Lonchura striata: one gene and its partner. The protein of the gene in region 1 purifies or fractionates together with the protein of each later gene. This does not show direct contact. Links are inferred from orthologs where the notes say so. Each region holds a gene or a part of one and is shown on either strand. Other genes may lie near its edges.

Evidence for each region.
Region 2: the proteins of UBXN2A (region 1) and PPP1R11 purify together in Homo sapiens (affinity purification with mass spectrometry; 3 studies listed by BioGRID and IntAct, counting the BioPlex papers as one, with this or other methods). This does not show direct contact. The link is inferred for Lonchura striata from reciprocal best matches to the Homo sapiens genes UBXN2A and PPP1R11.

The regions. Positions count from the first base shown.
Region 1 is NC_134605.1:106,721,724-106,737,672, reverse strand, and holds the start of UBXN2A (UBX domain-containing protein 2A), read right to left. Parts: upstream 7,355-15,949; 5' UTR 7,168-7,354; intron 2,361-7,167; 5' UTR 2,105-2,360; intron 132-2,104; exon of another isoform or gene 54-131; intron 27-53; exon of another isoform or gene 1-26. Other genes in the region: ATAD2B (ATPase family AAA domain-containing protein 2B), read left to right, coding at 7,966-8,121. UniProt on the Homo sapiens protein: Acts to repress the ubiquitination and subsequent endoplasmic reticulum-associated degradation of CHRNA3 by the STUB1-VCP-UBXN2A complex in cortical neurons.
Region 2 is NC_134631.1:180,830-197,596, reverse strand, and holds PPP1R11 (E3 ubiquitin-protein ligase PPP1R11), read right to left. Parts: upstream 6,796-16,767; 5' UTR 6,705-6,795; coding exon 6,636-6,704; intron 5,510-6,635; coding exon 5,401-5,509; intron 3,638-5,400; coding exon 3,438-3,637; 3' UTR 3,210-3,437; downstream 1-3,209. Other genes in the region: POLR1H (DNA-directed RNA polymerase I subunit RPA12), read right to left, coding at 7,276-7,300, 7,897-8,006, 8,687-9,036, 9,964-10,096. UniProt on the Homo sapiens protein: Atypical E3 ubiquitin-protein ligase which ubiquitinates TLR2 at 'Lys-754' leading to its degradation by the proteasome.

The DNA of each region.
Region 1 (15,949 bases):
ACCGGCTCCGCGAAACGCGCCGCCTGCCCAGCCTGTGCCCGCAGCGAACTCACCGCCCGTCCCGCAGCGCCCAGCCCGGGACCGCCCGCCGCGGAACTCCTCGGTGTCCCGCCTTGAGCGGCGCAGGCGCGGCGGCGCCGGGCGGGGCGGGCAGAGCTCCGCCCCGGCGCTGCGGGGGAGCCGGGGGGTCTCCGTAAGGATCCCTGCCGCTGTGCCGGGGGAAGTGCGGCTTCCCCGGGGATTGCCCTGTCCTCTCCTCCGGGAAGAGGCGAGGGCTGGGGTGTTTGCGGCTCGCCGCGACCCGCCTTTACGAGCCGGAACCCCCGCGTCGCTGCGGCGGTGTCTGGGCAGGAGCTGGCGCAACGCAGCAGAGATAAACATCCCTGTCCGGCCTGAGACTGCGAAGTCTCAGGAACTTAGTCCCGGCTGCGGAACAAAGGCCGCGGTCTGAGCGTCCGTCTGTCAAGCCGCGGCACCTACAACAGCAGGGAATGGTGCCCGTGTTTGGCCCCGGTGGAGCAGCGCACGCTGAGCCCTTTGGCGAGCGGGAGCGGCTCATGGTGCGGCGGGCGCCAGTTACGGGCCAGCGCTGACACCGTCACAAGGAGCTCAGCCGCGGCCTCGCACCGAGGACAAAAGAGCGGCGCGCTGTCTGGGAAGCAAACGGGAAAATGGGATGGGATCCTCGGGGAGGGAAGGACTGAGCCGAGTTCTCTGCGCTCTGTTGAGCCTTGGAGAAGCCGCTCTCTGCGGGACGAGGAGGTCCCGTGGTGGTGCCAGGAGCTATGCAAGCATCCAAGGCCAATACCGCGGGGAAGCTGCCAGCCCCTAGAAACACCCACCGAGCACAGTGAACGCACCCCTTGCACCTGCGGGCTGTTTAACAAGGGTTGGGTCTCCCCCCCCCACCCATCAATAATTAGCGATGCACTGTAAAACATTAAGAATTAACCTAAAGTGAACAGCCACAACTATCTAATTCACACTAATTAATGGGAAATCCACTGTGAATTTACAAGTGCGATCAAATGTAATTCTAAAAGCAGAGGTAAAACTTCATTGAGTGTCGTCTTCACGTGGGACACGTTTCTGCAATCCCTTAATCACAACAATTAAAATCACATTGTTCGGAAATATTAAAATAAGATGCTTAGTCTCAAAGTTCAGTGATGGGTGAGTAACAGAAGTAAAATCTGACACTTGACAGCTATAATTTATTTCTCTTTATAATGCACGTCACAATGCACTGATCCTTTTGAAGGCAGTTTGGATTGTTACATTTTAACTGCATGAGATCTAATTAGAGCTCCTGCTTATGAATCTTCAGGGAAGGTAGAAATTTGTCTTTTGTTTCCGTTAAAATACATGGAGTCTTATATTTCAAAACACGGACTGCAGAGATTCTATTCTCCCTGGTTTTGTTTAATGTTTAAAATAGTTTGACATTTTAGAAGATACTTCTTTGTTACAAGGGTTACTGATTCCATTAAACTGGTTTTAGAAATTTAGAACTTAAACCACAGATACCATGACTGTAGAAAAGTCAAGGAATTTACAAAACCCTAAGCTAAAACATCAGAAAGTTGTTTTGCAGTGCTGGACTGTTTTAAATTTTCTCTCACTATTTGAAGTGCACTATCTCCATTTCATTAAACACACAAGTTCATTAATATGCTTAACCCTTTCCTGGGGGCCATTTCAGCAACAATTTGACAGACCCAAAGGTAAGCATAGAAGGAGGTGAGGTGTCATTGATTTAGATTAGGTCTATTACTGGAAATCAGAGTACAGCTGGAGACATGCTGACCTACTACAGTAAGACTCAATGTCCTAGTGAATTTGGTTTCTTAAAAGCTCTTCTAAGTAGTGCTGTCCTCCCTTAGGAGTCAAACTGTTGACAAAGCACAGGAGTAACAAAAATCTTAAGAAAGAACTGCAATTCTTATATAATGTAAAAAATATTTTCTTTAAAGCTGGAAATTTTCAAGTTAGAATGTTGTTACAATCAAGACATCACTAAAATCCTTTTATACTCTGTGCATTTAATACAGCTGATTCTCTGGCAGTACACTAGATGAACAGAAGCAAATGGTCCTTTTCTTACCGTGTGGTGAATAGAAGCAAACAGCCCAGACTGTGTCTGCTGAAAAACCTCTAGCAGGGTATTCATGAGATGAATACAACCATCTTCTGCCCCTTTGTCAGGAGAGATCAGATGCAGTGGCGTGGAAGATAGTGACAACCCCCAGACTTGTTTTATAATGTAGGAGTGAATCTCAGTGTTGAAAAAGTAAAGCAGGGTTTCAGCTGTCACCGACAGACCTGTCAAGGTCACAGAAGAACCAGCACACACAGGGCATCTAAAAACAAACAGAAAATTAATTTTGAAGGGATATTTTTAAACCTTATATTTAACAAGGTTAGCCTATGCCAGAGGATACTGTCAGCTACCTATAATTAAACATCAGCCGTATTGATTGACCTTAACTTGAGAGACGAGCTGTTGCCTGAAGCCTTTTCGAAGTGTGTGCACACAGAGTAGGAACACACTGTGAGGAACTGGGACTGCAAAATAAATAGGAGAACAGGGTCTGGTTATCCTGCAAATGGCAATTCCACTGACTAAAAGACAGCACATTCCTCTGCATAGGATGAATGGTCCTTGAAGGAATGTTAAACCTTCTAGGCTGCCACACAGAGGGGAGTAGCTTAAGGAACCAATGTTTCTAGGAAGTCAGCTATGCACTGGAAAAGCAAGTCATTGTTTTGTGGGTGAATCAGCATTAATGACAATCGTGCATTGAAAGAAGTATCCACACATTGCTGGACTCTTGGACTGTAAGTACACAAGAAAATTGAATATACCTTCAATTTTAAAATAAGTGTGAAATGCATAAGCCCATGAAAAATTCAAGGCAGACTGAGCAACTGTTTGTACCAGATAACACACATTTGGAAATAATGTATTGTGAATTCTCAAAGACACTTTTAAGTGAAACTACAATGATGACATGGTAGTGTATTTTATGAGCTTGTTCTTGGACCTGTAACAAAAAAACCCCACACTTCGAAACCTAAGATTGCGTGTGAGCACTAGAGAGATTTATGAACCAATAATGTTTTTGATGGACTTGCCATGTGATCCTAATCAAGCCATTATACTTTTGTCTGGTGCTGAAGCTTATCTACACACGTGTTCATAAATGCTTATTTTTATTGTGAGCGTTTTAGGACAGAGTCTGGTTTTTACTACAAAGCTATACATCACCCAGCATAGTAACAGGCTGGTGGTGCTACTTTCATATGATTAATGATCATAAGCATCAAAGTGAGATGATTTGCCACTTTTGTCCAAGATGGAAGTAATTTACAGCCTGAATGATAGTGAAAAACAGACCCTGCAGATGCCTGGCTACAATACCATCAGCCTATGAGTTTCACACAATTATTATTATTAGAAAAACTATCTGCTGTGACCTTAGCTCAACAGGAAAAACATTATGGAAGCTAGTGGCCAGATGTGATGGCAAGATGATTTTGAAATATTACGAGGGAAGTTTTACCACTCCTTTTTAATGTTATCTGAGAAACCTACTCTCTGATTCCTCTTCAAGTTGCACTGATATTATCTAGTGTGGAAAACAGTCTTCAGATAGGTGCACTGATAATGGCACTGGACATTGAGTGTTTAATTTGAAATCATAACTATTACCCACTCTTAAATGACAATGGTAGTCTTCAAATAATGAGCCTTCTATAATAACATAGCAAACTGCCTGCAATGTGGAGTGATTGCACCATGTTCTCTGTTCCAGTTCAAGGTAGTACCAATCCTGATTCCTGGACACTGCTTATTTGAAGTTTCCAAACTGGTATCCCATGGGCCTATCTTCATAATGGACAGTTCTCAAAGGAGTAACCACACAATCTTAATTTCCTAACATGCCCCTCAGGAAAAAGCTTAGGATGCGTGTACAAAAGCAAGATCTCTTGTGAATCTTTTTTTATTTCAAGATTCAACTGAAACCAGGAGGAGTTGACAGCATGATTGAGAGGCACACATATGAGCTTATAAATAGAGGCCTGAAAAGATGATTTGATTTCCATTCTTTGGAATGTTACTGCTATTCAGAGATATTGCAAAGTAATCTCTGGTAAATTGCCTATGATTGAAGCAAATGGTAATTCACTGAATAGAGCCCTCTGGTCCTTACAAGAAAGAAACTCTCTGCAAAAGTTCTGAATAAGGGATGAAGGACTTTTTCTTTTGTTCTAATTCTTGATTTCCTGGTAAAATAGGGACATGTGATAACAAAATCATCCATCTCCAAATATTTCTTGTGTCATTAAGTATCATTCATGTAGCAACAAGGTTTTCCATCCTGGGTAATTTTTTAACGTCTTTTTACATCATGATGTCCCGATATGGCTTCATTCCCCATCTCTTTTGCTCAAGTCATTTTTCATATTTTACCAATTTCCCAGTAGTGTACCTGTCTTGGCAGATGGTGTGGTTTCTTCTTAATACATTTTTCAGATACCTTAATCTTTTTTCTGAACAACTGGAGTTAAAAGGACATTGAACACTGCTGTAAGCTTCAGCATTCATTATAAACTGGTTTTATTTGAAATATGGTCCTTCCCAATGGCATTTATTTGTAGAAGCATTTAGACATCTTGAAACTGGATGAGCTCTACAATTTTTTTTTAAAGTAATACATAGTGGAATGTGGCTTCAGTCCTTCTCCCCCTATTTTTTTCATTGTCTTTCACCACCAAGAGTTCTTACTTTTTTTCCCCCCCAGTCATCTCCTGCATGTAAAGTGCTGCAGGGAATCTAAATAGGTTTCTAATGCTGTTCTGTCTTCATATGACACCATATGAACCAACAACAGATAGAGAAAATGGGAACAAGTAAATTATTGGATTAGTGAAATTATTCTAAATCCCTTTCTACAGTAATTCATCTTTCATTGTAAAACCACATTTAAGTCTCTAAGTATGTGTGATATAAAATATTAATCCTATGTTAACATGTTCTCTGCATTTAAAAAAAATCCAATCAAAGCTACCAAGCAAACCTTGTAACTTATGACTGATTTATTTATATTGTCAGTACTAAAAATGGTGATGAGGCTGACATGGAAGCTATAATGCCATAAGCTATTTGAGTCAAAATAACCAGCCACACCTTCTAAGAGGAACAAGACAACTAAGAAACCTGTAAACAAAACCATCTGCGAAAAACAACACAGGGAGTTAACATCCAAAATGAAGCATGTCTTTCCATGTTTCCTATCATGCTAACACAATGAGAATGAAGCACTACAGATGTTCAAAGCAGAGATCAGGGATTTTTAACTACATCAATCTCTCCACAGTAGTCCCTCCGGCATCATAAAGAGTGCTCTCTGGGTATGGCTCACAGGAACGAGATCAGAACACATAAAAAAAAAAATTTAAAAAAAGGACACAACTGTGGTATAAATACCTAGCAAATATAGAATAAATAGCTTTTGAGTTGGAGAATTTCTGTTATTTCAAGCAGATCTGGAGAGGCACCCAGGAAAATAATTTTGCTTGCATATTGACTGAGTTTATTTTACTTTTTATAAGTCATCAGTGTTCATGAGAGGAAGAGTGCTGGTTTGAATCAGGCATGTTGCAAGCAGATGTTATGCAAGCTTCCCCAGACAGCCCTGCCAATGACTGCAATCCTGAGTTATGACATTCACTGTAACTGTTGCAGCCTGGGCCCTTTTTTGAGCCACTCATCTGTTGGTTTTCCTAAAATGGGGATATTTTTTGTGATGAGTACAAAAACTTGAAGATCAACATTTGTTTCCAGACCAGTAGAATTTGAAAACCATATCTGAGTTTCATGGCCTATCAGTACTACAGCACAGAAATTTTAAAGTACATTATTTGTCATTATATATATGATGTGATACTGTTACTTAACATATGTCTTGGTATTTGGTAAGGGGCAGTCTCTTGTAGTTTCCTTCTATTCCTACTTTTGAAGGCTAAAAAGATGTGATTTCCAAATACCATTCATAAAACCCCTTGTAGATTTTTAATTAAAATACTCCTTTCATCTACAAGTGTATGAAATTACTACGTCCTTTCATAACCTTTAAACAAATAAATTTAGAAACAAAGGATATCAAACCTATCAAAACCAATCTCATGGAGCAGAACTACTCTACTTTTGAAAGACACTGGTGATTCTGGGGCAGGAGATGAAGCACTGTTGCTAACGTAGATTACAAGCTCTAAATAGAGAATGTCAGATGAGACATTACAGTTCCCACTCTGAAATGCACTGTATTTTGGAGTATCTCATAAAACTAAACAATTGCTGCTAGTCACAGTATTTTTTGTTTTTGCTTGGATATTTAAAAAGCTGTTTTTCTTATTATATAGCCTGATGTCATTGTTGCATGTTTTCTAAGTACACATTCTACCATACTTTTACAGACTGTAATCTTGCAGAGGAAGATGTGGGAGTATGCAGGTAAAACAGAATAATAGTTTTTAAAATTTATTGTTCTTTACTAGATTATTATCGCACTTTCCATCTTTAAACAGTAAAAATACTTTGATAAAGCTTGCTTGAACTTAACAGTCAGAAGCACGTGCTCAGTAATTTCATGATACTATTTTTTTTGGTTAAAGAAGTAAGAAGCACTGAAATGACTTGCCCAGCAGTGCCAAACCAGTCAGTGTGAAAATTAAAAGGTTGAGACTTTGTCACCTACAGCTGTATGCTTGTGTTCCTCAGCTGTATTTCCTTCACAAAGCTTTTGGTTTCCAGGCTTATGTGCACGTACTGTCGTAAGTTCTGTACAGGGCAACAAGTGGTGAGAGAATGATTCTTACATCGACAAGAAGGGACTGGGTTCATGAACAGGGTTATAGTTTGTGAGTAATTTGAAAAGCATTTAGGCAGCCGGTGTAGAGTAATGCGTTGTATTCTTCGCCCCTCTGAGGCATCTGCGATAAGGAGGGAGGTGGGGAGCAGTGAGCTTTCCAAGGACCGAGCAGGGAACATGAAACGCAGGTTGAGGCAAAACACGGGGGACGCTGCCGGTGACGGGCGCGATGGGAGAAGGGCGCACTCCCGACAGCCTGGTATCAAGGTGATTTCTTAAAAATGAGGCTCACCAGAGTGTGAAAAGACTTTTCCACAGGGAATTATGGAGATCTCGTCCTCGGCAGATCTGTTCGCCCAAGCTGTCGGTCACCTCCTGTCAAGAGCCTCCCGGGGCGAGCAGAGCAGGCGGCTCCAGCCCCCCAGGCCGGGCGGCGGAGCCCCGCGCCGGCTGCCGGGGCTGCCCTTCTCCCGTCAGCCGCTCCCCCTGCCCTTGACCTCCCCGGCCCTCGGCTCAGCCCTCAGTGGGCGGCGGCGGCGGCGGCGGCTCCCCCGCCCCACGGGGTCACGCCAGGCCAGGCCCAGCCGGCGCTCTCCAGGCCGCGGCAGGGCCGTGAGGCTGCGCGGCGCTCGGTGCCCGCAGCGAAGCCGGGCCCGGGTCAGCTCCCCGGGGACCCGCGGCCGCCGCCGCCTCCCCCGGGCCGGGCCGGGCCGGGCCGGGCCCATAGAGCGCGCGGCGCCGGGATAGAACGGCCGCGCCGGGGCCGCAGCGCCCCCCGGCGGCGACTGGCGGGGGCGGCGCAGAGCGAGCAGAGAAAGGGAGCAGGGACAGTAATGGCGGCCAGTTAGAGCCGGGCTGAGCCCGAGAGGCGGCGGCGACAGCGGCGGGAGGAGCCGGCGCGGCTCCGGTTGCGTCTCTGCCCGGCGGAGCGGCCTCCCCGGAGGGCTTTTCTTCCTTCCTCCCTCCTCCCCCCTTTCCCCCTCTCCCTCCCCTTCCCCTCCCTGCCCGAGCCCCCGCCTGTCCGCCCTCCCTCCCTCCTCCCTCCGCGCCGGCGGCGGCGGCGCCCCCCGTGTCCCCCCTCGCCGGGGCCATGGTGAACACCAGGAAGAGCTCTCTGCGCCCCCTGGGCAAAGCGGCGGCCGCGGCGGCCGGGGCCGGCAGCCATTTCATCTCGTCCCGCACCCGCTCTTCTAAGAGGGGCACCAAGGCAGATGCGGCCGGGCTGGAGGAGGCGGCGGCAGCGCGGGTGAGGACCGGGGACTCCACAGGGGACCGGAGGGAGGGAGGCGGCGAGGCCGGGGAATCGCTGGGGACAGCGCCGCTGGTGCCGCGGCGCGGGGGGGGCTGCGGGCACGGGAGCCGGCGGGGGGCGGCTGCCGAGACGGCTGGCGGCTGTCGGAGGGACCCTGGGGCCGGCGGGCAGCCCGAGCCGAGGAGGCACGGCGGGGCCGGCAGGGACGCGGGGGGCAGCTGCGGAGAGCCGCGGTCCCTCTGGGGCCAGCGGCAGGGCGGCGGGGCCGCTGCCAGGGCGGGGGCGCAGCGGCCGCGGTGCCGGTGCCCGGCGGCGGGCGGGGGTCCGGCGGGGTCCGGCGGCGCGGGGCTCCCCCTGCGGCCGCGCCCGGCGCTGCCACCGCCAGACAAAAGTTGGGAGCTGCGCCCGCAGCAACTTCGCAATAAACCTCGGCCCGGGTTTGGTTCGTGTGTGTATATATGTGTGTTTGTGTGTGTGTGTGTGTGCGCGTGTGTGCTTTTTTTTTTTTTCCCCTGCTTTTTTTTTTTTTTTTTTTTTTTTTTTCCCTTTTCCCTAAATGACCTCGATTCGGCTGGCGGCTGCGACTGGAGGAAGCTGGTGTTCGGGAAAGCCCCCCGCCCCGTTTTTGTGGCTCGGAGGCTGTGATTTTTGCCGTCAAGTTTAAGTTGAACGCTTTCCCAGCCAAACTTCTTGTGGTTGCTTGGGTTAGACACGCTAACTGCAAGTGAAATTCTACAGCCCGATTTGAAGAATTAGCATTTGGTAAATTGGAACTGGAAGAAAGAATTCGGGAGTCCCCTTTCTTCCTTGTCTCGTAACAGCTCTGTTGACAAAACCTGCAATTTTTGTTTTTAATTATCGAAGAAACACAGAATCGGTGAGGTTGCAAAAGACCTCAGATCATTGAGTCCAACCTATGACCAATCACCACCTTGTCAACCGGACCATGGCACCGAGTGCCACATCCAGTCTTTCCTTAAACAGGTCCAGGGCTGGTGCCTCCACTGCCTCCCTGGGCAGTCCGTTCCCAATGTTTAATGATCCTGTCTGTGAAGAAATTCCTCCCACAGGAGGAATTGTAGGCAGGACTTTTTCTTTGGTTGATGAAACTTCACGTATTGCTTTAAAGGTCTTTCAATAAAAGCAATAAAAATCAATAAAAACAATGCACATTTGGAAGTGAAATTTGAGGGTCTGAGCGTTTGACAGTGGTGCATCAACTGTCCCTGCCATGCAAAGGAGGAAGTTAATCAACCAAGTAGAAAAACAGCAGCAGCAGCCAGAGGCATGTGAGAAGGATGTCACCTGGAATTCTCACAAAACCTTTTACCCCATCCATTTGGTCTAAAATACTAAACCAAATACAAATCACTGATGAAATATCCTATACCTTCTGTGCTTCTCTTTCAGTTCTTTCATATTTCCCAGTTCTTCCCTTCCCCCATCGTACTTTTACTTGTTCCCTATTTCTTCCTTGTTTAATTTCAGTGGACTCCTGGGGATGCAGTACCATAGCTGTAAAAAGCTGTTCTGCTTGTTCTAGTGTGCAGTTTCTGTTTATTCAGATCGTGGGTCTTGTGGTTTGTGAAGCAAAGTTTGAAGTAACCCTTACTGGCTTACTTCTCAGGGAGTTTACTGCTGCTATGAAAACTAGCTTGGGCTTCTTTCCAAGTATTTTTAATTCATGAACAGTGTTCTTTTACTACAAATCATTAAAATGTTCAAATTATGTTATTGTCATGGTGTGAGAAAAGGAGATTGTGCGAAATAGTGTAAAATATTGTAAATACTTCTCAATATATTGCCCATACACCTAAAAGAGCATTTCTTCTAAAGTTAAATGTAAATTTTGGTGCATGGGAATGAACTTGTTTTGCTCCACAAGGCAGCTCATGTGTTTGAGGTGGATTTTTTCTTTCCTTTTAAGATGTAATTGCCATATATGAGCAGAAGTTATCCAAGAAGGTTTTTTTCCTTATTTCCCCCATCCAGTGTGTTTTATAAAATATGTACATCTCACTGTATTTTAAAGTTGGTTTTGAACAACTCCTTTTATTCTTCAGATGTAAGTACTGTCAGCAATACAGTGTCTTTCTGAGCTTCTGAATCTTCTTGAAGTAGTGCCAGAGAAGGATCTCAGTGATTAGGACATGAATAAGTATAGCAGTAGGGAGACAAAGCCTTTGCTTTTGCAAGTGACTGTCGGGAGACTGATAGTGAGGCTGTGTTCAGAAAGAGCGTGCTGGGATCGTCTTCATGCAGTTGTATGTTTTTTGGGGTTTTTTTTTTTTTTTTTTGTTTTTTTTTTGTTTTTCCCTTGGTGGGGTTTTTTTTTTGTTTTTTTTTTTTTTTTGTTTTTTTTTTTTTTTAGTAGACTGGAACAGTCTGTCCTTTCTAGATCTTTTGGGTGTCACATCAGGAAACCAGCCTTGCTACCAGCAGTTAATCGGGTTAATGGGCAGCTAGAGTTTGGATCTCTGGCAGAGATGGGACGCTTCTTCTTTGCAGTATGTATGACTTAACTTTCTTGCATCGAGCTTTTGACTGGGACTCCCTGAGAGTTGCTCTTCTGTGGGAATATTTGCAGCCACCTTTCAGAATGTATTTTAAAAGATCATCTGTCTGTTCCTTATTAGCAACAAAAACTGAGTTAATGACATAATGGCATCCTGTAAGATGCTGAGTAGACTAAATGAGGGGATAGGACTTGCTGTCTAATTCTTCTGTATCTATTTCCTATTTTCTTCTTATTTTTTCCACTTGGCTTTTTCTGATACACTGTTTTTGTGGCTTTTTTTCCCCCATTTGTTTGGGTTTTTTGCATACACTTATAAGGATAGGTTTGACTCTCTCCTTTTCCAAGAACTTAAGTTTCTAGTCTTCTGCTTCAATATTTTGCTGAGTTATATGTGAATAGTGTCCTTTTTTGTTTGATCTGAATCTGGAGGCAACACACGTTTTGTGGAAATGGACTGTAATAGTCTAAATGCCTTTATTGGTTCAGTGTATTCCCTCAGTAGTACTCGCTCAGCTTGGAGAAAGCAATGACGTCAGGCTTTGAAAAGTAAACTGGTTTGAATTATTGATTGGCGACCATGCAGTCAGTGATGGAGATGAATACATGTGTGTCTGTCTGCTTACCAGAAGCCAGATTAAAATGAACAAAATCCCTCACTAAATGGATCAAGGAGCCAAGAAGTTTACTGTCTGAGATAATGTCATAGCAGAGTGCATAGAGAGGATACAGAGGGGAAAAACTGGGCTTTGTTTTCTTCCTGTTTCCAGGACTGATTTACACACTACTTAGTAGATTCTCAAGCAATGTTTACATAAATATATATTCTGTTGTTATACAAATTATACATATGTGTATAAAAATACAGATTTTTTATCTTCTGAGCATTAAAATTTGGGAAGTGTTCTAGCTTTATATTAAAGCATTCTGACAAGAAAAGCTCATCAAAATCTTTTACAGAGACACAGAATTTTAACAGAAGGCTTATAGGTTCAGTGGACTTCATTCACACTACGAAAACATCAAGGATCCTGTGACTATAAGTGGTTAAATTTGCACTTTGTATCTACTGATGTCTGATTACTGATGTCTAATGTTTTCAGACACTGAGTTGTGATTGCTGTAACACTTCTTTGGCAATTGAAATTATTTTTCTTAGTCATCTCAAAGCACAAATCAAAAGCGTTGATCGAGAATTTATTGTGTAATAGACACTCTTAAATCATGTCAGTGTACAAGTTAGACATTTTAGAAATGTATACAAGGTTAGCTTAATTTAATTAGCCAAGAAAGCATTAGCAGTGCCTTAAGAGCTACTTGAGGGCATGGTGATAATTGTAAAGCATGATCCTCCCTAAAAGTAGTGCTGCCAACATTGTTCAACTTGCACGGTGCAACCTAGAGCTCTCCATTGTACTTAACCGCTAATGGGAGCAATCAGGGGCTGCAGGAGTGACATCGGGTGCTGGAGTGTGGAAAGGTGGAGAGCTAAGCAGCATTTCTGTGCCCTGTGTTGCCAGTGTGTTTCAGCGTCTCTCACTGTGGTTTCTCAGTCTGTAGGCATAGAAGTGTTTTTTCTGATTTCTGGGTGATAATTTCAGCTTTTGTAGTGTAAACTTGTTGCTACATTTTACTCTTCGAAAAGCCTTTAATGGTCAGTGAAAACATAGAAAATGTAAAACTTACTATGATTTCTCTTAAATTACAAGTTTTAACATAAACAATAGAGCTTTCTAAAAATCAAGTTTTTGTTTATGAAAGACCCTCTCTACGTAATTTTTCACAGTGTTCTGGATGCTCTGGTGTTTAGAATAAAGCTGTAGAAAAAGATTTTCCTCCTTATGCTGGATAAATGACACTTGCTGGCCACCTGTTTCTTTTTCTTCAAGAAAAAAGCTCTGGTCCAATATCACTGTTTTAAAGAACTGCATTGCCTTTGTGTTTGAGTTTGCAGTGGCATCAGTAAAGGTGCAGAGGCTAATGCTTTTACAGTTCTTTGAAATACATCCTGAAATATAAAGCCTTGTGAAGTTATTCCAAACAATTTAATTTAAAGGAAGACTCCCAGGGAAGCTCATCTTTTCGGTGTGTAATAAAATCTCGGGTTCTTTCTGGTTTAGTGGTCTGCTGTTCTTTTGGGATTTAGCAGGGAAAAATCAGTGTTCTAAAATGAGTCATGTAGGCCATTCCTTGGCTGTGTGGTGTTAATACAGCTGTGAGCAGAGGGAAATGGAGCAATTGTTGGAAGGAGTCTTTGTTCAGGATTCTGTCAAAATACCATACAGTTGGCATTTGTGATCCTTTTGTGGTTCTGAAAGGCTGTCCCGAGTTTGAATTCTTCTTATGTATCTTGCCAGATCAGTCTGGGCTGCTTTCTGAAGTCAGGACATGTGAAGTGTCCATGGTTTGTTTTGGGAGGCCGTGGTGCATCCTGTTCGAAGCTGGCTATCCTTGCTGTCACACTGTTCCAGGGCCTTCAAAGGAAGCAATCCAAGGGCTAATCCAGTGAATGGATAAGACCTCCAAAGAGTACTCAGGAAATGGTGTTGATGTTTCATGTGCTGCATTGCTTCCTCTGAACATTGGGCTTGTCCCAAAGTAATATTAATAAAAGCTGCTTCTCCAACTGCTGTCTCTGTCTGAATTTCAAACAGAAGGTTTGACCCATGGCTATGAGGCAGCCCATGACAATTTTGCAAGAGTTGCATACAGCTTGGGGTTATGCAAGATAATTAGCTCAGGTAATTATATTCTGATCACCTCTATCCCCCTGCAGTTTCAGATGCATGTGGTACGGTTTTGCACACCCTGCCCTAAATTGTTTAATGTTTTATATGCTGTGGAAAAATTTTAATTCCAGTCTAATGATGATTTGAATGATTTCTCTGTAAAACTTTATAAAACCCATCTCGAAACAAAGCATGCTGCAAGTAGGCATCAGTGAACTGAAGCTTTCATTGATGTGAATTTTGTCTGCTGTTTTGTAGCTGTGACCCTTTGAAAGATTGCTGATTGTTTATTAGATGTTTTAGATCTAATAGATTACTTTTTCTGTGGGTAATACCACTTATGAACCCATTTACTGCAAAGGGAGCTGACAGTATGTTTTTATCCTTTTTTTGTGTACACTTCATGCTTTGCTGGTTTTTCAAAACAATTTTTCAGTCTGACTTCACTCTTGAAATATTGTCTTCATTACCTTTGATGGGATTTTCATGGTTTATTTTAACCATTAATTCTGATTTAAATTCCTCAAGTGTTGGTTTGAATTTATATGTACTTGGATTTTTTTTCTGAATAAATTTAGTTTCTTTTTGCTTGGTAGTTACTAAAACAGGCGAATTTTCAGCCAGTTGTAAGACCAGTTGTAATCTTCTGTAAGCCTTTCAATTTTGCACTGAGTATGTGTATGCTGTATTAGCTTCAGCTCCAACTGAACTAGTTACGAAGGAGGCAGCTTTAGTTCTCCTATTAGAAATACAGAACTTAGAAGTGTCTCCAAGTTCCACAGTTCTTGTAGCCTGTACTGAACTTCATGGTTTTGCCTGTATGCTTCTAGTAGTGTCTGTTGATGGCGTAACTGATGTAAAGCTTTGATAGAAAGTTTGTGTCCAGTTCCACTTGGAGCAGATGCTTTGGTTTGGTTGTTTTCATAGTGTGGGAAGGGGGCATTTTGCTTTTCTCCAGTCAGTTCTTTCATTTTAAATGGATAAATAGTTGAGTCAAGCTATTTAAATAACCTGAAATGAAGAATCTGTTCATTTTCTACATGTGGAAGAGATTACTTGCAGTGAAATTTGTTGCTGTGCTTCAGCAGTCCCTCATTTCAAATACTTAATAACTATCCTCTATTATTTCTCTGATTTATCCTTCAGGCTTAGAATTTTGTTTTAATTATGATTTAAATTTCAGTACATTAATCTTAAGATTTCTATCACAATTGTATGCCATTTTAATTTCTTTTTTCTCTTTTGAAAATGCTGTCTTCAAGTGCATTGTAGCTAGGGGTGCAGAAGTGTTTTTTGATCTTATTTTTTTTCAACACAGAAGGCCACCTTCCTAGTTTCCCTTGCTACAGACATTTCTTTGCTTAGTTTACTGAGTCTATTTCCTGGTCATGTCCAAACCTTGGGGAGCAGTTTGGTTCAGGTCTTCTCACTCTGTTCTCCTCTTTGCTATCCTCATTTAGATAATTCTGTGTCTTTATTTAGATTTATAGTAGTATTGAAGGAGGCCATGTCCTATAAGCTTTGTTTAGGATATGCCTGTTACACAGAAATAAGATGGATTTTTGAGGACTGAGGGTAGGAAAAACATTTGAATGATTTCATTTTTTCCACATCAGAAATTGTAATAATTATTGATTATTGATTCATTACATAAATATAATTTCTGCTTTAAAAGTTTTTATTAACAGAGTCTAGAAACTCATAGTTAATGTAGTTCTCACTAAAAATGTGTTACTTTTAGTATTCCTTCAGTGTTTAATAAGGAGGATCAGTGGTTTTAAAAACTTCCTTTAAGTGGATTGACTAGAAGTACTTCAAAGTGAGGTGTGGGCCCCATACAGCAAGTAGAGAACTCTTCTCAGTGGACTTGCTCTTCTGCAGGTGTGTGATTTCACATGTGCTGCGAGCTGTGAACTCTGCAGTTGTGAAAACAACAGACTCGCCAGTATTAATGCTTGCCAGGCCATTTGATCAGCGGGATCAGGATCATTTTACTGGTCCAGCTGAAACTAATCCTCTTCTCCACATCTCCTGGCTTCCCCTTGCCTCCCCTCCATCCTTCTGATGTGATTATTAGCTGAAATTTCACAGTATCATCCTAATTTTGGTGAAGGCACAGGGAAAAGAGGGGCGCTCATGGTGGAGCAGGCTGCTGATGATGGGAGGATAAATCTCAGCTCACTATTTATGGCCTCTGTCACAGTTTGGCAGAGGCTGCTCTGTAGGTCACTCTCCCTTTCGTTCATTAACCAAGTAACCTGTAGATTGCAAGAGTTTTTTGTGTGTCACACTGAAGCTGTTGACAGGTGCTCACTTGGTGTGGATATAAACAGGTGTCTTTTTTCTATAACAGACAGTAGGAATGGTTGCAGGTGTGAAAATCCTCAATTAACAGCACTTATATTTTTAACTTGCAAACTTTTAGCTTATCTTAAAAAGCTTTCACATTTATTAAATAACCTGAATTCTAGGGTTGAAGAGTTTCAGGAAATAAAATGGAAATCTGTTGAAATAATAAAGCAGATCTTCCAGTGCAAGAGATATGCTTTTTTTTTGTTTTTAATCTGACCAAATGGTG
Region 2 (16,767 bases), on another chromosome or scaffold:
AGCGCCGGGACAGCGCGGGGACGCCGCAGGACCCGCAGGACCAGGTGAGATTTGGGGGATTTTGGGGGTTTTTTGGGTTTTTGGGAGGGTTTTTGGGGGGTTTGGGGACATGGGGACACGAGTGGGGACACCGGGGACAGCGGGGACAGCGCAGGACCTGCAGGACCAGGTGAGATTTGGGGGATTTTGGGTTTTTGGGGGGTTTGGGGACATGGGGACAGCGGGGACAGCGCCGGGACAGCGCGGGGACGCCGCAGGACCCACAGGACCAGGTGAGATTTGGGGGATTTTGGGTTTTTTGGGTTTTTGGGAGGGTTTTTGGGGGGTTTGGGGACATGGGGACACGAGTGGGGACACCAGGGACAGCGCGGGGATGCTGCAGGACCCGCAGGACCAGGTGAGATTTGGGGGATTTTGGGTTATTTTTTGGAATTTGGGGATTTTTTGGGGGGTTTGGGGACACGGGGACAGCGGGGACAGCACCGGGGACAGCGCGGGGACGCCGCAGGACCCACAGGACCAGGTGAGATTTGGGGGATTTTGGGTTATTTTTTGGAATTTGGGGGTTTTTTGGGGGGTTTGGGGACACGGGGACAGCAGGAACAGTGCAGAGCCGGGAGGGGGGAAGGTGAAATTTGGGGATTTTTGGGGTTTTTGGGGAGTTTTGGGGACACGGGGACAGCGCGAGGACAGCGCAGGACCGACAGGACCAGGTGAGATTTTGGGGGATTTTGGGGGTTTTTTTTAGGGTATTTTGTGGGGGTTTGGGGGTTTGGGGACACGGGGACAGCGGGGACAGCACGGAGCCGGGAGCGGAAGAGGAAATTTGGGGAATTTTGGGGGTTTTTGGGTTTTTTTGGGGGGTTTGGGGACATGGGGACAGCAGGGACAGGACAGGACTGGCAGGACCAGGTGAGATTTGGGGGATTTTGGGGGTTTTTGGGGTTTTTTGGGGGGTTTGGGGACACGGGGACAGCAGGAACAGCGCAGAGCCAGGAGGGGAAGAGGAAATTTGGGGAAATTTGGGGAATTTTTGGGGGTTTGGGGAGATGGGGAGGGCGCAAGACCAGCAGGACCAGGTGAGATTTTGGGGAATTCTGGGGTTTTTTTGGAATTTTGGGGGGTTTTAGGGGGAGATTTGGGGGTTTTGAGGAGTTTGGGGACATGGGGACGGCGCAGAGCCGGGAGGGGAAGGGAAAATTTGGGGTTTTTGGGGAAAATTGGGGTTTTTGGGGGAGATTTTGGGGTTTTTGGAGATTTGGGGGAGATTTGGAAAACTTGGGGGGAGATTCGGGGTTTTTTTGGGAAGAGTTTTGATTTTTGGGGGGAGATTTAGGGACATGGAGGGAGGAATTGGGGGATTTTTGGGGAGAATTTAAGGGATTTTTTGGGGGTAATTTGGGGGAATTTTGTGGAATTTCTGGCAGGAATTTGGATGATTTTTGGGGGAGTTTTGGGGGGATTTGGGTTGATTTTGGGGGGAATTTTGGGGTGACTTTTGGGGGGAATTTGTATGATTTTTGAGAGGAATTTTGGGGGGAATTTGGATGATTTTTTGTGGGTAATTTGGGGGAATTTTGTGGAATTTCTGGCAGGAATTTGGGGTGATTTTTGGGGGGAATTTGTATGATTTTGGGGGGGAAATTTGAGGTGACTTTTGGGGGGAATTTGGGTGATTTTGGGGGGGATTTGGGCGCTGTTGCATCCCTGCCGAATCCGGCGCTGGGGGAGGGGAATTTTGGGGATCCCCGCCCCTCCCCCTCCCCTCACGTGCCGCCTCCTCCCGCCCCTCCCCCCCCCGGGGCGCCCCCGCCCCTCCCCCACCCGGCCCGGTGACATTTTTGGGGGGTGACAAATTTTGTTTTTGCGCTGCCCCTCCCCCGGCGCCCCAAAAATATTTGGGATTTTTTTCTTCCCTTCCCCCACCCCAAAAAAAAAAATCGGGATTTTTTTCCCCCTCCCCCTCCCCCACAAAAAAAAAAAAAAAGGGATTTTTTTCCCCCTCCTCCCCCAACCAAAAAATTAAAAAAATTCGGGATTTTTTCCCCTTTCCCCCACCAAAAAAATAAAAAATTCGGGATTTTTTTCCCCCTCCCCCACCCATTTTTTGGGTATTTTTTGTTTTTTTGTCCCCACAGCCTCGGGGCCCAACTGCGAGCGGACGCCGCCCCTCCCCCACCCCCGCGGGACCCCCCCAAATAAACCCAAAAAACCCAAAATAACCCAAAAAAACCCAAAAAGCATCACCGGTGTCATTTAATGTCCCTGGGGGGGGTCCAGGTAAAAATTTTGGGGTTTTTGGTGACATTTTTGGGGGTTTTGTGACATTTTTGGGGTCCAGGTGAGATTTTGGGGGGCGGTCCAGGCAGTGAAATTTTGGATTTGGGGGGAAAATTTTTGGGGCTGAAACTGCAGAATTTTTGGGCTAAAATTCCAAACTTTTGGGGCTGAAATTCCAGGATTTTTGGTGCTGAAATGCTGGAATTTTTGGGGCTGAAATTCCGAATTTTTCAGCCGGAATTTTCGGTGTTAAAACTCCGGAATTTTGGGGGGAAAATCTTAGAAATTATGACCCTAAAACTCCCAAATTTAGACCCGAAAACCCCCGAATTTCGGCCATAAATCCCTGGAATTTTAATTCTAAACCAGCAAAATTTCAACCCTAAAAATCCCAAAATTTGGCCCTAAAATTCTGGAATTTTAACCCCCAAACTCCCAAATGTTGGCCCTTAACCCCTGTAATTTTAACCCTAAAATTCCCAAAATTTGGCCCTAAAACTCCGGAATTTTGGCGCCGACCCCCCAAAATCCGTGGCGGGGTGGGGGAGGGGCCCCTCAGTGTCCATTGGGGTGGGGGAGGGGCGGATTTTGGGGTGGGGGAGGGGCGGATTTTGGGGGCCCCCGCGGATTTTTGGGGTGGGGGAGGGGCAGGGTGGGGGAGGGGCACATTTTGGGGTCCCCCCCGCAGATTTTGGGGTGGGGGAGGGTCGGATTTTTGGGGTGGGGGAGGGGCCCCTCAGTGCTCATTGGGGTGGGGGAGGGGCAGATTTTGGGATGGGGGAGGCTCGGATTTTTTGGGTGGGGGAGGGTCGGGTTTTTGGGGTGGGGAAGGGTCAGATTTTGGGGTGGGGGTCAGATTTTTGGGGTGGGGGAGGGGCGGATTTTGGGGTGGGGGAGGGGCAGTTTTGGGGTGAGGGAGGGTCGGGTTTTGGGGTGGGGGAGGGGCGGATTTTGGGGTGGGGGAGGGGCCCCTCAGTGCTCCGTTGGGGTGGGGGAGGGTCGGGTTTTGGGGTGGGGGTCAGATTTTTGGGGTGGGGGAGGGGCGGTTTGGGTGGGGGAGGGGCTGGTTTTGGGGTGGGGGAGGGGCCGGTTTTGGGGTGGGGGAGGGGCGGATTTTGGGGTGGGGGAGGGGCGGTTTGGGGTGGGGGAGGGGCCCCTCAGTGCTCCATGGCCACGGGCGGCTCGCGGGGCGGGGGGAGGGGCGGTTTGGGGGGGCCCCTCCCCCCCGTGTGCCGGTGGCCCCGCACGCAGTTCTGGTGGCCGCAGCCGCGCCCCTCCCCCCCCCGCCCCTCCCCCTCCCCCTCGCTCTCCGAGGAACTCTCGCCGAAGGGCCGCGGCCGCTCGAAGATGCAGCAGCCTGGGGAGAGAGGCCGAGAGACGGGCTGGGGGATTGGGGGTGGGGGGTGGGGATGGGGGGTGGGGATTGGGGGGGTTTGGGGGGTTTGGGGGGATTTGGGGGGTTTGGGGGATTGGGGGGATTTGGGGAGATTTGGGAGAATTTTGGGGGTTTGGGGGATTTGGGGGGATTTGGGGGTTTGGGGAAATTTGGGGGATTTGGGGATTTGAGGGGTTTGGGGAAATTTGTGGAGGTTTGGGGAAATTTGGGGGTTTGGGGGGATTTGGGGGGATTGGGGGATTTGGGGGGATTTGGGGAAATTTGGGGGATTTGGGGGATTTTGGGGATTTGGGGAATTTGGGGATTTGGGGAAATTTGGGGGATTTGGGGGATTGGGGAGAATTTTGGGGGTTTGGGGGATTTGGGGGGTTTGGGGGGATTTGGGGAATTTGGGGGATTTGGGGAAATTTGGGGGATTTGGGGGGATTTGGGGGTTTGGGGGGTTTGGGGGAAATTTGGGAGATTTGGGGGGATTTGGGGGGTTTGGGGGGGTTTGGGGGGATTTGGGGGGATTTGGGGATTTGGGGGGGTTTGGGGGATTTGGGGGGATTTGGGGGGATTGGGGGAAATTTGGGGGATTTGGGGGGATTTGGGGGGTTTGGGGGATTTGGGGGGTTTGGCAAAATTTGGGGGGTTTGGGGAAATTTGGGGGGTTTGGGGAAATTTGGGGGGTTTGGGTGAAATTTGGGGGGATTTGGGGGAGATTTGGGGAGTTTGGAGGATTTGGGGGCATTTTGGGGGGATTTGGGAGGATTTCAGTGAAATTTGGGGGGCTTTGGGCAGTTTTGGGGGGTGTTTTTGCGTTGTTTTTGGGCCATTTCTGGGTTATCTTGGGAGGTATTTTTGGTCAATTTTTGGGCTATTTTTTGGGCCAATTTTGGGTTAATTTTTGGGTTATTCTGGCAGAGATTTTCAGGATATTTTTGGGCCACTTTGGGGCTACTTTAGGGCCGTTTTTGGACTATTCTGGCACATATTTTTGAGCCATTTTTGGGTTAATTTTGGACCGTTCTGGCAGATATTTCTGGGATATTTTTGGGCCATTTTGGGGCTGGTTTTGGGACGTTTTTGGGCGGGTTTGGGGCCATTTTTGGGCAGATTTTGGGGCTGGTTTTGGGCCATTTTGGGGTGGATTTTGAGGCTGTTTTGGGCAGATTTTGGGGCCATTTTTGGGCCGTTTTTGGTCCATTTTTTGGCAGATTTTGGGGCCATTTTTGGGCCGTTTTGGGCAGATTTTGGGGCCATTTTTAGTCCATTTTTGGTCCATTTTTTGGGCCGTTTTGGGCAGATTTTGGGGCCATTTTCAGTCCGTTTTTGGTCCATTTTTGGGCAGATTTTGGGGCCATTTTCAGTCCGTTTTTGGTCCATTTTTTGGCAGATTTTGGGGCCATTTTTGGGCCGTTTTGGGCAGATTTTGGGGCCATTTTTAGTCCATTTTTGGTCCATTTTTTGGGCCGTTTTGGGCAGATTTTGGGGCCATTTTCAGTCCGTTTTTGGTCCATTTTTGGGCAGATTTTGGGGCCATTTTCAGTCCGTTTTTGGTCCATTTTTGGGCAGATTTTGGGGCCAGTTTTGGTCCATTTTTGGGCAGATTTTGGGGCCATTTTCAGTCCGTTTTTGGTCCATTTTTGGGCAGATTTTGGGGCCAGTTTTGGTCGGTTTTGGGGCCAGTTTTGGGCAGATTTTGGGTGGATTTGGGTCCGTTCTGGGCCCGCGGCGCTCACACTTGGAGGAGCGGCGGCCCAGGTGCTCGTTGTCCACCGTGTCGCTCGACCACTCGACCTTCTTGTCCGGCTTCCTCTTCCTCAGCTTCAGCGTCAGGCTGCGCTGCTCCTGCGGGGTCACACAGGGGTCAGGGGTCACACAGGGGTCAGGGGTCACACAGGGGTCACTCCGTGTCCCCTCAGCGTCAGGCTGCGCTGCTCCTGCGGGGCCACACAGGGGTCAGGGGTCACACAGGGGTCAGGGGTCACACAGGGGTCAGGGGTCACACAGGGGTCACTCCGTGTCCCCTCAGCGTCAGGCTGCGCTGCTCCTGCGGGGTCACACAGGGGTCAGGGGTCACACAGGGGTCAGGGGTCACACAGGGGTCACTCAGTGTCCCCCCAGCTTCAGCGTCAGGCTGCGCTGCTCCTGAGGGGTCAGCCAGGGGTCAAGGGTCAGCCAGAGGTCAGCCAGGGGTCAGAGGTCACACTGTGTCCCCAGGGGCCATTCCCAGTATCCAAACCCCTCCCAGTAACCCCAAACCCCATTCCCAGTACATCCCAGTAACCCCAAACCTCGCCCAGACAGTCCCAGTACATCCCAGTCCCTCCCAGTGCCCCCAAACCCTGCCCCAGTAACCCTAAATCCCTCCCAGTACATCCCAGTGACCCCAAACCCCATCCCAGTACCCTCATCCCCCATTCCCAGTACATCCCAGTGACCCCAAATGCCATCCCAGTACCCTCATCCCCCATTCCCAGTACATCCCAGTAACCCCAGTCCCTCCCAGTCCCCCCCAGTGACTCCAAACCCCATCCCAGTAACCCTAAATCCCTCCCAGTAACGTTGTCCCCCATTCCCAGTAATTCCCAGTAACCCCAGTTCCCTCCCAGTCCCCTTCCAGTCCCTCCCAGCAACCCCAAACCTCGCCCAGACAGTCCCAGTATATCCCAGTCGCTCCCAGTGACCCCAAACCCCATCCCAGTAATCTCATCCCCCATTCCCAGTACATCCCAGTGACCCCAGTCCCTCCCAGTCCCTCCCAGCAACCCCAAACCCCATCCCAGTATATCCCAAATCCCTCCCAATCCCATCCCAGTCCCCCCAGTCCCTCCCAGTAACCCCAGTCCCTCCCAGTCCCTCCCAGTGACCCCAAACCCCTCCCAGTATATCCCAGTTCCCTCCCAGTCCCTCCCAGTAACCTCATCCCCCATTCCCAGTCCCTCCCAGTCTCCCCGCCCCCCCGGGCCGGTACCGGCTCGGGGTTCCCGCTCTCGGTGACGGTGGCGGTGCCGCAGCCGCCGCTCTCCGCCGTCTCCGCCATGGCCGCGGGGGGTCCCGGGGCTCCCGCCGCCACCGGGCCGGGCCGGGAGCGGAACCGGGCCGGGCCGAGGCCGCCCCCACTTCCGGTGCGCGGAGAGCGCCGCTTCCGGTGGGTGAAGCGGCGAATCCGCTCCCCCTGCGCGGCCACTTCCGGTGCGCGCAGAGCGCCGCTTCCGGTGGGCGCGGCGGAGAATCCGCTCCCCCTGCGCGGCCACTTCCGGTGCGCGGAGAGCGCCGCTTCCGGTGGGCCCGGCGGAGAATCCGCTCCCCCTGCGCGGCCACTTCCGGTGCGCGCCCAAGGGCACCGAATTCCCAAAAAAATCCCCAAAATTCCCCCAAAAAATCCCCAAATTCCGCCCCGAATTTGGGAGCGGGACGCTTCGATTCCTCTTCAAGCACCAAAATCTCAAAAACGGCCGAAAAATTCCCAAAACATCCCCCAAAGCACCAAAATATTCCAGAAAATGCCCCAAAAATCCCAAAAAATCCCTCCAAAAAATTCCCAAAAATTAAAAAAATATCCCCAAAAAACCCAAAATTCCTCCCTTAAGAATCCCCCAAAAATCCAAATGTCAGGAATCTTCCTTCTCCTGGAACCTGCGGGAAAAGGGGAGGGGTCAGGAGAAATTCGGGAAATTTGGGGTGAATTTTGGGGGAAAATTCGGGGTTTGGGGAAATTTGGGATTTCAGGGAAATGTGAGGGGTTTTTTGGGGAATTTTTGTGGCTTTTTGGGGTTTTTTTTGGGGATTATTTTGGGGGTGTTTCGGGGTTATTTTTGGGATAGGTCAGGGGATATATTGGGAATATTTTGGGGATATTTTGTGAATATTTTGGGGATATTTTGGGGAGATTCTGGCAATATTTAGTGGCTATTTTGGGAATATTTCAAGGATATTTCGGGGACATTTTGGGGATATTTTGGGAATATTTCGGGGATATATCAGGGATATTTTGGGAATATTTTGGGGATATTTTGGGGATATTTGGGGCTATTTTGGGAATATTTCAAGGATATTTTGGGGACATTTTGGGGACATTTCAGGGATATTTTGGGAATATTTCGGGGATATTTTGGGGATATTTGGGGCTATTTTGGGAATATTTCAGGGATATTTTGGGGACATTTTGGGGATATTTTGGGGATATTTTGGGGATATTTTGGGGATATTTTGGGGCTATTTGGGGCTCTCACCTGCAGCGGGGGCAGGTGTAAAAAACCGTCTGCCCCTCGTCGGCCGAGCGCATCTGGCGGGTGTGGAACCACATCCCCGAGTGGGCGCAGCGGGGACAGACCCTGTCCACCTAAAATTCAAATTATTCACCTCAAAATTCAAATTATTCACCCCAAAAATATCCCAAAATTCAAATTATTCACCCCAAAAATCCCATGAAATCCATGGGATCCCCGTGTGGAACCACATCCCTGGGTGGGCGCAGCGGGGGCAGATCCTGTCCACCTAAAATACCCAAAATTCAAATTATTCACCCCAAAAATATCCCAAAATTCAAATTATTCACCCCAAAAATCCCATGAAATCCATGGGATCCCCGTGTGGAACGACATCCCTGGGTGGGCACAGCGGGGACAGATCCTGTCCAGGTAAAACATCTAAAAATCAAATTATTCACCTCAAAAATATCCCAAAATCCCATTAATTCATCCCAAAAATCCCATTTTCACCCCCAAATCCCTTTTTAAGCCCGAAAATCCCATTAATTCACCCCAAAATTCCCATTTTTCACCTCAAAAATCTCTTTACCCTAAAATCAAAATTTTTTGGGGAATTTTTGGTCAAATTTTTGGGAAATTTTCTGGAATTTTTCTGGATTTTTTTGGGGGGGGGATTTTTTTTTTTCAAATTTTTGTCAATTTTGGGGGGAATTGTCTGTTTTTTTTTTTTTTAATTTTATAGGCATTTTTGTGGACTTTTTTTAAATTTTCAGGGAATTTTGTGGGATTTTTTCCTGGAAATTTTGGGGGGGGGGTTTGCAGGATTTTTTGGGGAATTTTTTTTTAATTTTGGGGGGAATTTTTTTGGAATTTTTGAATATTTTTTTTCTGGAATTTTGGGCTTTTTTTCGAGGGGGGTTTTTGGGGATTTTCTGAGAATTTTTTTGGAATTTTTTTTTAAATCTTGGGGATTTTTTTCTGGAATTTTGGGGGTTTTTTTGGGAATTTTGGGGGAATTTTTCTGGAAATTTTGGGGGATTTTTTGGGATTTGGGGGCCCCGCCCCCCCTCACCGTGGGTCCCTCCTGGGGGGCGGGGCCGGCGCTGCCCCTCCCCCCCCCGGCGAAGCTCAGCGAGGATCGGACGGGGCCCGGCCGCAGATCTGGGGAGAAAAACGCCAAAATCGGGAAAAACGTGGGGAAAATGGGGAGAAAACGGGGAAAATACGGGGAGAAATGGAGGAAAATGGAGGAAATCAGGAAAATTGGGGAATACAGGGGAAGTACAGGGAAAAACGGAAAAATTGGGAAAATCGGGGAAAAATACAGGGAAAATGGGGAAAAACTGGGGAAAATACAGGGAAAAAAGGGGAATATACAAGGAAAAACAAGGGAAAATTGGGGAAAAAGTGGGGAAATTTAGAATTTTGGGGGGAAATGGGGAAAAAGTCCTGATCATTGGAGACCACAGCGGGAGCAGCATTTCAATGGGATTTAATGGGATTTTAACGGGATTTTTTTCAGGATTTCTCTATTTCTTTGGGGATTTTTTTGGATTTTGGGTTTATTCTGGATTTATTTTGGGTTTTTTGCCCCAAACCTGAGCTCCGCAGGCCGAGCCCGCAGCGGGGGCAGGATTTCAATGAGATTTAATGGGATTTAATGGGATTTCAATGGGATTTTTTGGATTTTAACAGGATTTTTTCAGGATTTCTCGATTTCTTTGGGGATTTTTTTGGATTTTGGATTTTTTTGGGGTTTTTTTGCCCCAAACCTGAGCTCCGCAGGCCAAGCCCGCAGCGGGGGCAGGATTTCAATGAGATTTAATGGGATTTCAATGGGATTTTTTGGATTTTAATGGGATTTTTTCAGGATTTCTCGATTTCTTTGGGGATTTTTTTGGATTTTGGATTTATTTTGGGTTTTTTGCCCCAAACCTGAGCTCCGCAGGCCGAGCCCGCAGCGGGGGCAGGATTTCAATGAGATTTAATGGGATTTAATGGGATTTTAATGGGATTTTTTCAGGATTTCTCGATTTCTTTGGGGATTTTTTTGGATTTTGGATTTATTTTGGGTTTTTTGCCCCAAACCTGAGCTCCGCAGGCCGAGCCCGCAGCGGGGGCAGCGGCAGCAGCTGCCGGGGCCGGGCCGGGGCAGGACGGAGCCGCACTCGGGGCAGAATTCGGGGCGGGAGCGGAACCAGAACCGGGCCGGGGGCTCCATCCGGGGAACGGACCCGAAACGGCCAAAAACCTGTGAAAACAGCCCCGAAATACAGCAAAAATACAGCAAAATAGCCCAAAAATACAGCAAAAACTACCCCAAAACAGCCCCAAAAATTACCCCAAAAATACAGCAACACCAGCCTAAAAGTTACCCAAAAATACAGCAAAATCAGCCCCCAAAATTACCCAAAACTCCTGCAAAAAAAGCCCAAAAATACAACAAAAATACAGCAAAAATTACCCAAAAAAATACACCAAAACCAGCCCCAGAATACACCAAAAAAAGCCAAAAAATACACCAAAAACAGCCTCAAAATTGCACGAAAAACACCCAAAAAATACACCAAAACACCCCAAAATTATCCCAAAAGCTCTCAGAAAATGCACCTAAAACACACCAAAAATGAACCAAAAATGCTCCAACAAATCCCACAAAAACTCTCCCAAATCTGCCGCAAAATTCCCAAAGTCTCCCCAAATTCTCCCCGGAAATCCCAAATTTCCTCCAAAGTCTCCCAAAAATTCCCCCCAAAACTCTGCCTCCCCTCCCCCCCAAAATTTCCTCCAAAAACACCCAAAAAAATCCCCAAATTTCCCCAAATTCCCCCCAAAAATCCCAAATTTCCCCCCAAATCCTCCCAAAATTCCTCCCCTCCCTCCTCTGCCTCCCCTACCCCCAGAATTCCCAAAAAAATCCCCAAATTTCCCCAAAAAGCCCCAAAAATTCTCCCAAATCTGCACCACCCCTCCCCCACCTCCTCCCGGCGCCGCGCGGGAAACTCCGCCGGCCCCGCCCCTTCCCTGACGTCACTTCCGCTCCCTCCGCGACCCGGAAAGGGGAGCGCTTCATTAACGGCGCATCATTAATTAACGCGCTAATTAACCAGAAAAGGCGTGGCTTCGTGAGGGGGCGTGGCTGGATTTAATCTGCGTTAAAGGGGGCGTGGCTCTCGCCGCGCTCAAAGGGGGCGTGGCCACGCGTGAGGCCGCCTCATTTGCATCAACCGCGCGTCTTGGCGCGCTCGGATTGGCCGGCGGCGAGGGGGCGTGGCCTGGCGTCGCCATGGCGCCGCTTCCGCTGCGGCCGGACCGGAAGTGGCGGCGCTCGCGGCCGGACCGGAAGTGGCGGCGCTCGCGGCCGGACCGGAAGTGGCGGCGCTCGCGGGAAGGCGCCGCCGGTACGGGGGGGGGCGGGGGGGGCCGGGATTTTGGGGGAAATTTGGGGGTTTTTGGGACTTTTTGGGGGTTTCGGGGGGTCCCGGCGCTGGGGGGGAGCCCCCGGAGGTGCTGGGGGGGGAGGGGCGGCGGGCGCGGCCGCGTTTGGGATTTTTTGGGGATTTTTGGGGTTTTGGGGCCTTTTCTGAGGGGGAGCGGCTGAGCCCCAAAATGGCGGCGGGGGGAAATTTGGGGAAATTTGGGGAAATTTGGGGATTTTTTGGGGTTCCTTGGGAGGATTTTGGAATTAGTTTTTGGGGGGTTCATTGGGAATTTTTAGGGGATTTTTTTTTGGGTTTTGTGGGGGGGTTTGGGGTTTATTTGGAATTTTGGGGCTTTTTAAAGGGATTTATTTAGGAACTCTTGAGGATTTTTTTGGGAGGATTTGTTTGGATTTTTGGGGGGATTTGGGGTTTTTTTGGGGGCGTTTTGGAGAGCATTTTGGGATTTTGGGTGGAATTTTTTTGGAGATTTTTGGGGAGATTTTGGAGCTTTTCGAGGAGATTTATTGGGATTTTTTGGGGGGTTTTATTGGGAATTTTTTTGGGGATTTTGGGATTTTTTGGGGGGGATTTATTTAGATTTGTTGGGGTTTTAATTTTGGTATTTTTGGGTTTTTTTGGTTTTCCCTCCAACCCCTCCCCGAATTCAGAATTTTGGGAATTTTCATTTTTTCCCGTTTTTGTTCTTTTTCCCCAGGAGGTCCCGGCCCCGCCCCCCTCCAGGAGCCCCAAATTCCGGAATTTTGCCCCAAAATTCCCGAGGGAGCCTCGGGGGGGGAGGGGGGAGCCGGAGGCGGAGCCCCCTCCCCCACTGAGCGGCAGGTGAGGCGGGAGCGGGGGGAAAACGGGGCAAAAACGGGGGGAAATGGGCAAAAACGGGGGAAAAACGGGGGAAAATGGGCAAAAATGGGGAAAATGGGAAAAAAATGGGGAAAAACGGGAAAAAATGGGGAAAAACGGGGAAAAAATGGGGAAAAACGGGAAAAAATGGGGAAAAACGGGAAAAAATGGGGAAAAACGGGGGAAAATGGGCAAAAACGGGGGAAAACGGGAAAAAACGGGGGAAAACGGGAAAAAAACAGGGCAAAAACGCGGGAAATGGGAAAAAAATGGGGAAAAACGGGGGAAATGGGAAAAACGGGGCGAAAATGGGAAAAAACGGGAGAAAACGGGAAAAAAATGGGGAAAAACGGGGGGAAATGGGAAAAACGGGGCGAAAATGGGAAAAAACGGGAGAAAACGGGAAAAAAATGGGAAAAAACGGGGGAAAAATGGGGGGAAATGGGAAAAAATGGGGGGAAATGGGAAAAAACAGGAAAAAAATGGGGAAAAACGGGGGGAAATGGGTAAAAACAGGGAAAATGGGGGGAAATTGGGAGAAAATGGGGAAAAATGGGGGAAAACGGGAAAAAAAGGGAAAAAATGGGGGGATACGGGGAAAATGGGAAAAAATGGGCAAATATGGTTGAAAACAGGAAACACATGGGTCAAAAATGGGAAAAAAAGGAAAAAAGGGAAAAAATGGGGTAAATTGGGAAAAAATGGGGGAAAGTGGGAAAAAATGGGCAAAAACAGGAAAAAATGGGGGTAAAAAGGAATTTTGGGGGAAAATGGGGGAAATTGGGAAAAAATGGGCAAAAGTGGGGAATTTTGGGGTAAAAATGGGGGAAAAAACCGCAAGAAAAAAAAAGGGAATTAATGGGGGAAAACAGAGAAATTTGGGGAAAAACTAGGAGAAAAATTAGAATTTTTGGGGAAAAAAGAGGGGAAAACAGGAAAAAATGGAATCTCGGGTGTAAAATGGGAGGAATGGGGAAACTGAGAAAAAATGGGGGAAAAACGGGAAATAATGGGAAAAATGGAAAAAATGGGGGAAATTGGAAAAAAAAGGAAAAAATTGGGGGGAAATGGGGAAAAAAGGGGAATTTTTGGGAAAATCGGGGTAAAAGGGGCATTTTGGGAGGAAAATGGGGAAAAAAGGGAATTTTGGGAAAAAACGGGGAGAAAAATTGAATTTCGGGGGAAAAAGGAGGAATGGGAGAAAAATTTGAGTTTTGGGGAAAAAATGGGAATTTTGGGGAAAAAATGGGAATTTTGGGGAAAAATGGGGAGATAAATTGAATTTCAGGGGAAAAAGGAGAAAAGGGAGAAAAATTGGAGTTTTGGGGAAAAAATGGGAATTTTGGGGAAAAAAGTGGGAAAATTCGGCATTTTAGCCAAAAAAATGGGGAAAAAATGAAATTTTGGAGAAAAAAATCGGGAAAATCTGGAAATAAAGGAGAAAAAAATTGGAATTTTAGGAAAAAATTTGGGTCTCAGCATGGATTTGCCCAAAATTTGGGATTTTTTCTCTCAAAATCTGAATTATCTTGGATTTTCCCAGAATTTGAGAATTTTGTGCTGACAAAAATGGGAATTAGTACGGAATTTGCCCAAAATTTGGGATTTTCACCCCAAATTTGAATGATTTTGCATTTTTCTTCCGATTTGGGGGATTTTTGGCTGGCAAAAATTAGAATTAACGGGGAATTTTTGGCTAAAAATCCTCAAAAACTCCAAAATTTTGTGATTTTCACCCCCTCAACTCCCCAAGGACAGGGAAAAAAGGAGAAAAAATTCAATTTCCACCCAAAATATGTAAATTTTGGGGGGATTTGAGGCGATTTCATCACTTGGCCGCTGCCCAGAGGGGAAGGAAAATTCCCAATTCGCTGAGTCAGCAGCTCCAGCTGCAGCCCCGGCCACGCTCGGGGCAAAACTCCCCAAATTTGGGCAAAAACCCCAACATTCGGGCAAAAATCCCAATTTTTTGGGCAAAAATCCCAATTTTTGGAGCAAAAACCCCAAATTTTGGAGCAAAAATCTCAAATTTTGGACAAAAAACAAACAAATTTGGGGTCAAATCCCAGCAAACTTCCAGATTTCGGTTCAAAAATCCCAAATTTCGAAGAAATCCCGGAATTTTGGGGTGAAATTTCAGGATTTTGGCGCAGGTAAATCCCCCCCCATTTTTCCTGCTTGATTTTCCCCGTTCAAATCTGATTTTTCTCTTTTTTCCCTCCTTTTTTCTCTCTTTTTTTCCCTCTTTTCCTGCTTTTTTTGGGTGTTGTTTCCCCATTTTTGGGCTGTTTTTTCTCAGGGAATCCCCCCCAACTTCTCCCTTCTCTCTTTTCCCAAAAAATCCCATTTTTCTCTTTATTTTTCCCCTTTTTTTTCCCCTTTTCCCCTCCTTTTTTCCCCCTTAGCTTGTTTTTTTTGGGGCAATTTTTGGGGATTTTGGGCCATTTTAATTCCCCCAGGATTTTCCTTCTCCCCCCACCCCTCTGGCCCCATTTTTTGGGAAAAAATCCGATTTTTTGGGCTTTTTTTGCCCCTTTAATTCCCTTTTCCGGTGCTGACGTGGCCGGGGCAGAGTTTAACCCTTGAGCTCCCGCACTGGAGCCGCCCCAGAGAAATTCTCTTTTTTTCCCTTTTTTTTAAAAATTTTTCCTGCATTTTTTCCACTTTTCCAACTTTTTTTTAACCCTCTCATATTCCCCTTCATTTTTTAAGCCTTCCCGAGGTTTTTTTTCCCCTTTTTTTCTGGATTTTTTTAACCCTTTCCTGGATTTTTTCTCATTTTATTTTTAAAAATGAAATTTAATTCCTTAATTTCCCTTTTTTCTCTCCAATTTTTTTCTCTCTTTTCCTCTTTTTTTTCTCGTTTTCCCCTCTTTTTTCTCCTTTTTTCTCCTTTTTTTCTCCTTTTCCCCCTTTTTTTATCTTTTATCCCCCCCCTTCCTTAACCCCAAATTTCTTCACCATTTGGACTCTCAAATCCCAATTTCCATGAATTTGCCCCATTTTCTTTTTTCCTCTCTTTTAGACTGGAAAATCCTCCCTGGGTTAAAATTTCACAGGATTAAAAAATTAAAACTTAAATTTTGATTTGAAATTTCAATTTCACAGCATCGGAAATTAAAATTTAGCATCAAAACTATTTTAAAATTAATATTCCGCAGCATTTAAAATTAAAAATAATTTAAATTAATATTTAACAAGACTTAAGATTAAGTTTTAGCACTGGAATTAATATTTAACAAGATTAAAAATTAAATTTTAACAGGATCGGACTCTGCCCTTGAATTCCGGATCGGTGAGGGCTGAATTTGGGTTTTTTCTTTTTTTTTAAGGATTTTTGCCTCATTTTTAACAGAATTTTAAGGAATTTTTAGGATTTTTTTAATCTTCAGTGAAATTTGGGGTGAGAATCTCAAATTTCAATTTTTTCTCATTTTTTTAAACAATTCTGGGGCATTTTAAAGGGAATTTTTGCCAATTTTTTAATTTTGGGGGATTTTTAGGGACTTTTTCTTGTATATTTGATTTATTTTTATTTCTTTGAACCACAGGTTTTCACTTCCTCTTTTGGAAGGGATTTTGGGGGTAAAAAAGGGAATTTTGGGGCCTGGGATTTGGGTTTCTTTTGTACCCATAATTCAAAAATTGTGACTTTTCCCTCCATTTTTAACTCCAAATTTCTCTTTTCCCTCCTTTTTTGACCCTGTTTTTAACCCCAAATTTCTCTTTTCCGCCCCCAAATTTCTTTTTTAACCCAAATTTCTCTTTTTTAACCCTGAATTTTCTATTTCTCAATTTTCAACCCCAAATTTCTCTTCCCCCCTATTTCCTCCTCGTTTTTAACCCCAAATTTCAGGTTTTAACCCCAAATTTCTCTTTTTTAACCCCAAATTTCATTTTTCCCCCATTTCCAAGCCCAAATTTCATTTTTCCTCATTTTTACCCCAAATTTATTTTTTAACCCATTTTTCTCTTTTTTAATCCAATTTTCTTGTTTTTAACCCCAAAATCTTCTCTTTCACCCCCAAATTTCCCTTTCTCACCCCCAAATTCCCCTTTTTCCCACAAATTTCCCTTTTTCACCCCCAAATTTCTCATTTTCATCCCAAAATTCCTCATTTCCCCTCCCAAATCCCTCTTTTTCCCAAAAAAATCCCCATTTTTCCCCCCAAATTCCCCTTTCCCCCCCCAATTTCCCCTTTTTCACCCAAATTTCTCCTTTTTCCTCTCAATTTTCTTTTTTACCCCAAATGTTTTTCCCCCCAAATTTCCCTTTTTGACCCTCAAATTTCCCTTTCTCACCCCCAAAATTCTCATTTTCACCCCAAAATTTCTTATTTTCCGCCACAAATTTCCCTTTTCCCCCCAAATTTCTCATTTTCACCCTGAAATTTCTCAGTTTCCCCCCAAATTTCCCTTTATCACCCCCAAATTCCCATTTCCCCCTGATTTCCCGTTTTTAACCAATCCCCCCCATTTTCCCCCCCATAATTTCCCCATTTTTAACCAATCCCCCCCATTTCTCCCCTAATTCCCCATTTTTCACCAATCCCCCCGTTTTCTCCCCATTTTTAACCAATCCCCCCGTTTTCTCCCCAATTCCCATTTTTCA